Linked DNA regions of Oryctolagus cuniculus. The protein of the gene in region 1 interacts with the protein of each later gene in a pairwise test. Links are inferred from orthologs where the notes say so. Each region holds a gene or a part of one and is shown on either strand. Other genes may lie near its edges.

The links.
Region 2: the proteins of ADAMTSL4 (region 1) and CFAP206 interact in binary tests that used the Homo sapiens proteins (3 or more experiments, as listed by UniProt). The two-hybrid records come from large-scale screens. The link is inferred for Oryctolagus cuniculus from reciprocal best matches to the Homo sapiens genes ADAMTSL4 and CFAP206.
Region 3: the proteins of ADAMTSL4 (region 1) and NATD1 interact in binary tests that used the Homo sapiens proteins (3 or more experiments, as listed by UniProt). The two-hybrid records come from large-scale screens. The link is inferred for Oryctolagus cuniculus from reciprocal best matches to the Homo sapiens genes ADAMTSL4 and NATD1.

Annotation. Positions count from the first base shown.
Region 1 is NC_091438.1:47,449,222-47,452,867, reverse strand, and holds part of ADAMTSL4 (ADAMTS-like protein 4), read left to right. Parts: exon of another isoform or gene 1-63; coding exon 64-404; exon of another isoform or gene 405-604; coding exon 605-1,214; exon of another isoform or gene 1,215-1,444; coding exon 1,445-1,547; exon of another isoform or gene 1,548-2,009; intron 2,010-3,646. UniProt on the Homo sapiens protein: Positive regulation of apoptosis. May facilitate FBN1 microfibril biogenesis.
Region 2 is NC_091436.1:85,115,492-85,119,137, reverse strand, and holds part of CFAP206 (cilia- and flagella-associated protein 206), read left to right. Parts: intron 1-1,602; coding exon 1,603-1,811; intron 1,812-3,646. UniProt on the Homo sapiens protein: Essential for sperm motility and is involved in the regulation of the beating frequency of motile cilia on the epithelial cells of the respiratory tract. Required for the establishment of radial spokes in sperm flagella.
Region 3 is NC_091448.1:65,885,443-65,889,188, forward strand, and holds the start of NATD1 (protein NATD1), read left to right. Parts: upstream 1-1,284; 5' UTR 1,285-1,486; coding exon 1,487-1,622; intron 1,623-3,746.

The DNA.
Region 1 (3,646 bases):
CAAGCCCTGGACTGGGTAGGCACTCAGTCACTGGAATCCTCTCTGGCCTTTTTCTCTTTGTAGGTGCTGTCTGGACACTCTCTACAGATGCCGCCAGAGGAGGGCCAGGGCCCTGAGGGGGTCTGGGGGCCTTGGGACCAGTGGTCCTCTTGCTCCCAGCCCTGTGGGGTGGGGGTACAGCGCCGGAGCCGGATATGCCAGCCCCGCCAGGACCTGCCTCCCCCTCCCCGGCCCCCAAGGCATCCAGAAGCCCAACTCCCCCGCGGTCAGGGCTCCAGACCCCACACCTTGGGAGAAACCCACCCCCTGTACAGGCCACAGCCACGGGGAAGGGGGGGCCCGCTTCGAGGTCCTGCTTCCCTGCCGGGCAGGGAGGACACACAGGAGGTGGCAGGAGCCCGCAGGTGAGGCTCTGCGGGAAGGGGCGGGCCTTGGGTGAGGGGCTGGGCTTGATGTGGAGGGAAGGGGAGCAAAGGACACGCGGCTTCCAGAGGCTTCTCTCGGGTGCCAGGAAGTGGAATGGGGAGACAGGCTCCGGGACAGCTGGAGCGTGCCCCGCGTGTCTGACTCATGTGTGTGACTCATGTCTGCCACACCTTCTCAGGTCCCGGGTCCGAGAGCCCATCAAGCCTGGGATGTTCGGCTATGGGAGAGTGCCCTTTGCCTTGCCGCTGCATCGCCACCGCAGGCACCCCCGGCGGCCGCCCCTGACTCCCGGGGCCGAGCTGCCCTCTGCACTGCCCCCCACAGAACTGCCTGCCCACACCTCATCCCTCCCGGCACACCCCACAGGGTCAGGGACTGTTCAGACCGAGGCTGCCCTGCCCCGAGCCAGGGCTGCCTCCTCGCAGCCGTCCCGTGGAGCCCAGGCCCCCCGCACTGAGCCCCTCTCGCCCACCCTCTCCGGGGAGAGTCGCCCCTTCCACCTGTCCCCTCAGCCAAGAATACCGAGCTCCCAGGGCTGGGCCCGCCCCCGGGAGCCAGGGAGACCCCCTGACCCTTTCCCCTCGGTCCCTCGGGGCTGGGGCCAGCAGAGCTGGGGGCCCTGGAGGCCTGGGGGGAGCCTCCGGGGGTCCCCCGCGGAGCCGAATGGCTGGCTGCCTCTGCTGAGCGACGGACCCCCCTCCAGTTCTCTCTGGAGCCTCTTTGCCCCCAGCAGCCCTGTCCCGCGATGTTCTGGGGAGACCGAGCAGCTGAGAGCCTGCAGCCAAGTGGTGAGTTCCTCACTGGACCTCACTGCCCAACTCAGCTTCCACTCTGTCCCCTTGATCTGGGGCGGGGCACTCAGCTTGTCTGACCCAGCAGGGCGGAGAAAGGCCCCGGCCTCTGACCTCCTTGGGGAAGGGGCCTTGGAAGTCTTCTGTGGACCCCTCCCCCCAGGCCCAGCCTTGGCCCTGAGCCCCATTTGCCTCCCTGACCCTGACTCCTTTGTCCCTCCCCGCAGCCCTGCCCGCCCGAGCAGCCAGACCCCAGGGCACTGCAGTGTGCTGCCTTCGACTCCCAGGAGTTCATGGGCCAGCTCTACCAGTGGGAGCCCTTCACCCAAGGTGAGTGCTCCGGCCCCTCCCCTGGGCAGGGGTCATGGGGTCAGCAAACACCAGTCACTCCCACCCTGGAAGATTTCCCGCCCTTCTCCTTCTCTGCGTCACCCAGGACAGAGGGGACTTGGCCCAGGCCTTGAGCTGCCAGATGGTGCTGACTGGTCTGCAGGGGGCTCGGGGAGGGAGGGAGAGCTGTCCAGAGGTGCCCTTTACATCCCAGGAACGGGGTGGCTATGACCCAAGAGATCCTGCCACCCGGCAGCAGGCTGGGCTGTGCTTACCGTGTCCTGCTCCCAGGGTACCGTCCACTTGGTTTAGGCCTGTGTCACCTTGACACCCAGATGAGACCTCCTGAGTTCAGTGCACACAATCACAGGTGTGGAAGCTCTCTCCTTGGTGGCCTCAGTGACCCCAAGTGACCTGAGCAGCTTATGTCCAGTGACCCAGCAGCCTCAGGGTGTCCCAGAGCTGGCATGAGGGAGATTTCAGAGTTAGTGCGAAAATGTCATTAAAAGATGTTTATTTTGGTACAAAATGATTTTGAAATTCATGCATAGTTTTTTTTTCTAACACATATTTCCTATGAGCTTTTTTCTTTTTTTTTTTTTTAAGATTTATTTATTTATTTGAAAGAGTTACAGACAGACAGAAAAAGAGAAATCTTCCATCCGCTGGTTCTCTCCCTAAATGTCCACAATTGCTGGAGCTGCGCTGATCCAAAGCCAGGAGCCAGGAGCCTCCTCCTGGTCTCCCATGCAGTGCAGGGGCCCAGGCACTTGGATCATCCTCTGCTGCTTTCAGGGAGAGGATCAGAAGTGGAGACGCTGGAACTGGAGCCGGCGCCCGTACGGGATGCCCGCGATACCCACTGTGCTGCAGCGCCGGCCCCTCCTGCTCTCTTTGTAGCGTGTCTCTTCCTTATCTACTAGAGAGGCACAGGGTATGGTGTTTGCAGAGGGAGACAGATACTCTTTTTTAAAAATAAACATATCTCTTTTTAAAAAATATTTTATTTATTTATTGATAGAGTTACAGATAGTGAGAGAGAGAGAAAGGTCTTCCGACTGTTGATTCACTCCCCAAATGGCTGCAATGGTTGGAGCTGTGCCGATCTGAAGCCAGGAGCTTCCTCCTGGTCTCCCACATGGGTGCAGGGGCCCAAGGACTCTCTCTCTCTCTCTCTTTTTTTAAAGATACATTTATTTGAAAGATAGAGTTATACAGAGGCAGAGGCAGAGAGATATTTTCTGTCCACTGGTTCTCTCCCCAAATGGCTGCAATTGCTGGAGCTGGACCGATCCATAGCCAGGAGCTTCTTCCAGGTCTCCCGTGTGGGTGCAGGGGCCCAAGGACTTAGGCTGTCTTCTGCTGTTTTCCCAGGCACATTAGCAGAGAGCTGGATTGGAAGTAGAGCAGCCAGGACTTGAACCGGTGACTGTAGGAGATGCTGGCGCTGCAGGCGGCAGCTTTATCCACTACACTGTAACACTGGCCCCAATGGGCATAGGTTCTTGTGATGTAAGAGTGTAGTAACCAGGGCCAGCACTGTGGCACAGCCGGTTAATGCCCTGGCCTGCAGCACCAGCATCCCATATGGGTGCCAGTTCCACGCCTGGCTGCTCCAGTTCTCATCCAGTTCCCTGCTAATGCACCTGGGAAAGCAGTGGAAGATGGCCCAAGTGCTTGGGCCCCTGCACCCACATGGGAGATCCAGGTGAAGCTCCTGACTCCTGGCTTCAGCCTGCCTGGCCCAGCCCTGGCCCTGGCGGCCTTTTGAGGAGTGAACCAGCAGATGGAAAACCTCTTTCTCTGTCCCTACGTCTCTAACTCTCTCCTTCAACTAAATACAATAATTTTTTTTTGTTTTAATGTATAGCCACCAAACTATACGGGATGGCCACATGGCAGGTGGTGGCTTAACCCGCTGTGCCACAGCGCTCCCTCCCAGGAGCTTTTTGAAGATCCTTCCTATGCATGGATTTCAACATTTTCTGCACCCCAGTAAACACCTTTCAACTCCACTTTGCCACAAACGTTTTCAGGGGCCTCCTGAGCAAAGCTTCTGCGGGGGCCCTGGGCCCTTTCCATCCGCTTCCCCTCCCGCC
Region 2 (3,646 bases), on another chromosome or scaffold:
GCCCAAGGACTTGGGCCATCTTCCACTGCCTTCCCAGGCCATAGCAGAGAGCTGGATTGGAAGAGGAGCAGCCGGGACTAGAACTTGCGCCCATATGGGATGCCGGCGCTTCAGGCCAGAGGGCTTTAACCCACTGTGCCACAGCACTGGCCTCTCCATCAGGTTCATTCTTTTATTTATTTATTTATTTACTTATTTTTGCAATTTGGATGTCATTTATTTATTTTTTATAGTTTTTAATTTTTATAAAGTGAGCAAATTTCGTGTATCATGTATTAGGTTAATTCTAATTCAATTTAATTTACATTTAAATTTAATTAATTTTAATTCTAATTAAAATTTAATGTGCTCAGTGAGGAAAATAACATACAACACACTACTTACATTTCATATTTCAGATTTTTGATTTTGACTATTTCTTAAGAACTACTAGTGGGGCCAGTATTGTAGCAAAATGGGTAAAGCCACCACCATCCAAAGCCAGGAGCCAGGTGCTTCTCCTGGTCTCCCATGCGGGTGCAGGGCCTAAACACTTGGGCCATCCTCCACTGCACTCCCTGGCCATAGCAGAGAGCTGGCCTGGAAGAGGGGCTATCGGGACAGAATCTGGCACCCCGACTGGGACTAGAACCCAGTGTGCTGGCGCCGCAAGGCGGAGGATTAGCCTATTGAGCCGCGGCGCTGGCCCCAACTACACTTCTGATTTCAGCCTCCTGCTAATGTACTGAGAGAGGCAACAGAAGATGACTCAAGTAATTGAGTCCCTGCCACCTCTGTGGGAGACCTGGCTTGAGTTCCTAGCTCCAATTTTCGCAAGAATTTGGGGAGGGAACCAGCAGATGGAAAATATCTGTCTACTTCTCTCTGTGGGTCTCTACCTTTCAAGTGAAATTTTAAAAATTAAAAACTGTTTTAAATCTCAAACTCCTATTCTTCATAAAGTTCCCTCCCTTTCCAGACTATTCTGAAAATTTTCAGCATCCAGAACTACTTAAGAAGCACACTTTTTTCTCTTTCATTTTTGCAAAGAAGATAGAGGGGCCGCCATTGTGGCGGAACAGGTGAAGCTGCTTGCAACGCTGGTATCAGAGTGCTGGCTCGGACCCAGGCTATTCTGCTTCTACTCCAGCTTCCTGCTCACGTGCTTGAGAAAATAGCAGAAGGTGGCCCATGTGTGTGGGCCCCTATCAGCCATGTGGAAGACTAGGATGGAGTTCTTTGTCCCTGGCTTCTGCCTGGACCAACCCTGACTGTTGAGGCCTTTTAAAGAAGAGAAGAGAAGGAGGGATCATGGCTTTTTTAGAGGCATGATATCAGCAATACATAATATCAGCGTCTACCTGTTGAAGAAATTCCTCTGTATTTTAGCGGCATGGCTGATCTGCTGTAACTTTTGGTCTTCATTCTGATATATCTTTAGTTTGGGCAGTTTTTAAATTATTCTTCATGGTGGAGGATCCATGAAATACATACCTGATTATTGTTAATCTGGGGAAAAAACTGGGCTCAATTTAATTGTGGAAAGATGACTAGTTGTAGATGTTCCCACCTTAATTCTTTTTAGACTCCTTAATGCCTGTCTTCTTGTACTCTGAAAAACAGTGCCAGCTATTCTACAGGAAGCAATCCCAGCCACCACTCACCATGTGGATTCTCAGCTTCAGATTGCCCAGAACTGGGCACACCGCTACACAGCCATCCTTGAGAAAGCAACAGATAATCCACTCGTGGCTATAGACCTTCAGCCATATAAATTGAAAGAAGCACTATATAATGTGCGACAATATGAGGTCTTTCTTCAAATCATTTTGGTGAGTTAATTTCATAATCTCTGGCCTTTTCTATATAATATAATAATCTTTTTATATATTGCAAGGCTAAACCATGAGAACCAGGTCACTAATTAAATTTATATTGCATTGAGGGGCCAGGAATTAAAATAGAAACAGGGAAGTTAGATTTTGATTTTAACAAAAATACCTTGGTGGCAACTGACTTTACAGCTGTTGATTTTCTTTGGAACTAGGTAGTATGATTGTTAACAGGCTATAGTAAAGCAGAGGTGTGTATGTGTACAAGAGTAGTGGTGTGTTTGTTTTAATTTGGAGCAAGTGTCTAACACATGTCTACAGGTAGTTGCAGTCAATTTTTCTGTGATTATTTGCTCTTGTTATAAGTATTAATAGAAGAAATTTTTATATCTGATGATTTTGGACCTAATGAATAAACCAAACAATATCCCAAAGAGTTGGAAAATAAAGTGATGATTATAAACTTTTTTTTTTATTATAAGCTTTTAAAAGCAGCAGTGCACTTTGTTTCAGATAGAAGCCAAGGATCCTGAAAACATAAAGCAGCTATCTCAATGAAGGGGTTAGTGGACCTTTACTAAGGAATATTCCCCATGCCCCTCCAGCATTCCAGGAACATAGTTTGATAATGACTGTGTAACAGTACACTGTGCTCCCTCCAGTCACTGCTTACCTTTAAAAAGCCTCTACTTTCCAGTAGCAGTGAGACTCGGGGTCAGTGGAACTGTCTTGTGTGTGAATGAGTACTGATTTCTCGATGGAGACTTGATTCTACTTCTGGATGCACTTGCTCAGTCCTCTGATTACCTCGCCGAAAGAATAAAGAGATAAACGTCCTCATGACATGACTTCATTGGACAGACTAGGGGTGATCCTCATAAAGGGGCTACTAATTGCCTTCAGAAGGAAGGACCTTAAGTCAACTATCCAAAACCAAATCCTGTAATACTGACCTGTGGCTCCCAGTCTTACGTAACTAGTCAGATACTGGGAGGATTTAATAATCAGTTTATCATGAATTTATATGGGCCCACAGGAGCAGAACCTTCTATTCCTTTTTGTAATCTCCACTCAGAATATTACAAGGGACGCCGGTGCCGCGGCTCACTAGGCTAATCCTCCGCTTGCGGCACTGGCACACGGGGTTCTAGTCCCGGTCGGGGCGCCAGATTCTGTCCCGGTTGCTCCTCTTCCAGTCCAACTCTCTGCTATGGCCCAGGAGTGCAGTGGAGGATGGCCCAAGTGCTTGGGCCCTGCACCCGCATGGGAGACCAGGAGAAGCACCTGGCTCCTGCCATTGGATCAGTGTGGTGCGCCGGCCGCAGCGCACCGGCCGTGGCGGCCATTGGAGGGTGAACCAACGGAAAAGGAAGACCTTTCTCTCTGTCTTTCTCTCTCACTGTCCACTCTGCCTATTAAAAAAAAAAAAAAAAGAATATTACAAGGGAAAAAATTCCTGGGAAACTGTCAAATATTCTGTAAGCATGTTGCAGAGGATGTCATTTATTATATAGTACCTTCTCATAGTTTTCAAGCATGAATCATACTCAATGAACTAGCTTACAGTCTTAACTTCTCATTGGCATCCCACCTCGCACAGCTAGAAGGACAATGAGTAGAGTGTAGAAATATCAGTGGGGGTTCTAATCCTGACTTTGCTACTTAATCAATATATGTCTAAGGAAATTGCTTAACTTCCCTGTTGCTGGGTTTCCACATCTATAGACTGGGGTTGTTAAGAATCTCTACCATATAAACAAGGGAGAACAGTGCCTGACTTATGACAGTGGGAGCTCAGTAAGCTCACGATGATCACGATGATCACGATGAGAACC
Region 3 (3,746 bases), on another chromosome or scaffold:
GCAGAAACTAATCAGAGAGAATCCAGGCCAGCTGGGGATAGATGTATAAATAAATGACTATGACTGCAGGGAGGAGGGCTCCCCAGAGGAGGTGTTGTTTGGGCAGGTGCAAAAGCCCAGAGGCGGAGAAACCAGTGTAGTGTTTGGTCTCCCCATCCCCACCACACTCAGAATTGGGGGCTGAGGGAGGCACAATGGGGGCCACCGCGGGCACGGATCTGGGGTCTCCGCCAAGACTAAACGCACCCCAGTCAGAAGACTGGGAATCCAGCCCAGGAGCCACCCATGAGCTACGAGCCACCCGGGTCGCCCACGGGGTTTTTAAACCAACCACCTGGCCGGCGCCGCGGCTCACTAGGCTAATTCTCCGCCTTGCGGCACCGGCACACCGGGTTCTATTCCCGGTCGGGGCGCCGGATTCTGTCCCGGTTGCCCCTCTTCCAGGCCAGCTCTGCTGTGGCCAGGGAGTGCAGTGGAGGATGGCCCAAGTGCTTGGGCCCTGCACCCCATGGGAGACCAGGATAAGCACCTGGCTCCAGCCTTCAGATAGGCACAGTGCACCCGCCGCAGCGCGCTGGCCGTGGCGACCATTGGAGGGTGAACCAACGGCAAAAGGAAGACCTTTCTCTCTGTCTCTCTCTCCCTGTCCACTCTGCCTGTCAAAAATAAATAAATAAATAAATAAAATAAAATAAACCAACCACCTACCCCTCCAGGCACTAGCAGGAGCTGGAGCTCCCTGCCAGGTGCCGTCATATGGGATGCAGGGGTCCCCCTGGTGTGCTGACCACCATGTCACCTCCATGTCCAGGTCTACAGAGACCCTCTCCGGAACAGGCATCCATAAAACAACAAGGTGGCGATAAATGTTCGCTCACGACAAGGGTGCCCAAGAAAGTACCAGCAGACGCCTGCGCTGAGTGGCAGGGCTGAAATAAAGCCCCCTACCTCCAGGGCTCCCTGGGCAAAATGGCGCCACGCGCCCCTGCCGGCCCCAGACTCCTGAGAACTTGGGTGCATACAGCAGGCGCCTAATAAATAAATGCTGGCTGCCTTGGAGGACGATCAGAATTTCCCTCCAAGTTGGGGTGGGGGAGGGTGTCCATATTTATTTTATTTATTTATTTATTTTAAGAAAGCGCGCGAGGTGGGGGAGCAGCCGGCGCGTTGTTTTGTTTGGGGCTGCGAGCGGCACGCGGCCCGCGAGGCGCGCGGCCCCTTTAAGAGCCGACAGGAATGTATCAAAACAAAAAGGCCGCGCGCCCATTGGCTGCGCGCCGCACGTGACCGCACAGCTGATTTCCTGGCCGCCCCCCTCCCCGACACACAGACACTCAGACACAGAGACCCCGCGGCCCCGACGCCCCCCGCCGTCTCTTTTTTGTGCGTGTGTGTGGCCGCCGCCCGCGCGCCCCCGGCCGCCCCGCCGCCCCGCCGCCGCCCCGCAGCCGCCCCGCCGCCGCCCGCGCCCGCGGCCCGCGCGCAGATGGCGCACTCGGCGGCCACCGCCACCGCCGCCGCCGCCGCCGCCGCCGCCGCGCCGCCGGGCGCGCTGGAGCAGGGCTGCCCCATCCGCGTGGAGCACGACCGGCAGCGCCGCCAGTTCACCGTCCGGCTCAACGGTAACGCGCCGCGCGCCCCCGCCTTTTGTTTGCGCAGCCCCGGGGGAGAGGCGTCGCGGCCGCGCGGGGTGGGCCGGGGCCGGGGCCGGGGAGGGGGTGGGGGCGCGCGCGGGTCCCCGGCCTTGGCCGCGCGCCCCGCACCTGCCCCGGGCCGGGCCGGGCCGTCTTGGCGTCTCCGGGGGCGCACTGGGGCTGACCGCCCCCACCGGCCTGCCCCTGCCCCAGCGGCTCTGAGGTTTGGGCTGGGTGCCTCGCCCCGCCCCCCGTGCCTTAGTTTCTCCCCCAGCACCCCCGGGGAGCGTTGTCCGTCCAGGATCCGGGCTGGTGCTGCGCGTGGCAGCAGTTTCCTGGAGAGAACTTTTATACCAGCCCACACCCGCCCTCTCTCTAGGGGCAGACAGAATTAGGATTCCGGGACCAGGCCCTCCCTGTACGCCCCCCCCCCAACGCCCCCCAAGGCTGTTCCAGCGAGGAGAGCTCCCAAGGGTTACTGTACCCATTTCTGAGCCAGGAAGGCAAAGGCCCAGGTAAAGGAGACACTTGTCTCAAGTCAGCTAGTCAGTTGGGGCTAATGAGTTGGAGTTGGCCCCCACCCGCGCTTGACCCAGGTTGGCCAAGGTCAGGAGGGGCCCAGCCGCCCCGCAGGACACCCCCCCCCAGCCCCATTTGGGCTGTGCTGGGCACCAGGCCCACCCGCATTTGGGCTGTGCTGGGCACCGGGTCAAGCCACGGCTTCCAGCCGGACCACAGGACAGCCCTGCAGGTCTGCCCAGCCACAGTTCCCATCTTGCCTCTTTCTGGGACCTGCCTCCTGGCAGGGCGGAAGCTGGGTGTTTGGGGAACCAGTGTGTTGTTTGCATCTGGCCTCCTTGGAACCCTGCAGGGGAGGAAGGGCCTTGTCCCTGTGGCTCTGGGTGTCTGTGTGTGTGTGTGTGTCCGTGTCCTGGCTGTCCCCGGTGGCAGAGCTAGGCTGATTCTCTTCCTGCGAGCTCTGTGTCTGGATGAGGGAAGATGTTTGAGCAGCTGCATTTATTGAGCACTTGCTGTATCCCTGGAGAGACACCGGAAACCCCTCTCCTGGTTCCCAAAGGAGACGTGCAGGGACTTGCCCTGGGACTTTGCCCCTCCCATGTGGGAAAACCGAGATCGCATGCCCCAAGGATGTGCTGAGCACTGCTCTTCTAGGTGCTGGGGGAGTGGGGAGGTTCCAGGGGACAGCAGATGGAGCGAATTGTCGAATGTGTCTTGGAAAACCAGGACCCCGGGGGCTAGGTGGGGAGAATGTGGCAGGGCGCAGGGGTCCCGGAAGACGGTGAGAAACAGAGCAACAGCAGGGGAGTGGTCCAGGTGGAGGGAGCAGCAAGCGCAAAGGCCCTGTGGTGCTCAGAGCAGCAGGAGATGGAGGCACGGAGAGAGGAGATTGGGCCGTGGAGGGCACAGATGGTGCAGGGCTCACAGGTGTGAACCCCGGGGAACCTGGCCTTGGCTCTGGGTGACACGGGCTCCCAGGAAGGTCCTGAGCAGAGGCTGCGCAGGAAGCAAGACTACGGCGGGCAGGATGGAGCTGGAAGGTGGCTACTGCACAGGTCCGAGCAGTTGAGCACAGGGTTGACTGACCCCAGGTCTGCTCTGTAAGGGGCAGCTTTCCATTCTACAGCCAGGAAAACAAAGGCAAGAGAGGTGGCTGAGCCTGAAGAGAGGTCCCGCCTCCATCAGAGGAGGGCTGTCACCTGCAGGCTGTGGCCCCGCCCCCTCCCCATGATCCCTCCGGCAGTCTTCCTCCTCCCCCTCCCCCCAGTCAGGGCTGAGATCCCAGCATGCTCAGTGAGGGCTGGGGCTGGGAGTCCCTTCCCGCTGGTCCTGCCTGCCTGCCTGCTGGCTGTGTCAGGCCACGTCAGGCCATGGCCCTGCAGGGAGTGGCCTGTGGCCACCCCTAAGCCACCCGCGTCCCCCCCCCAAACCAAGCTGTGCACCTGCAGGCAGCCCAGAGAGGCCCTCCCCCCACACCTGCTCCTGCACCTGCTTGTGGGTGGTCGCACGCCTCCACTCCCTGAGACCTGGTTCTGGCCGGGCCCCTGCCTCAGTCTGCTCATCTGTGGACGCCCTGACCCCACACCGGGCTGA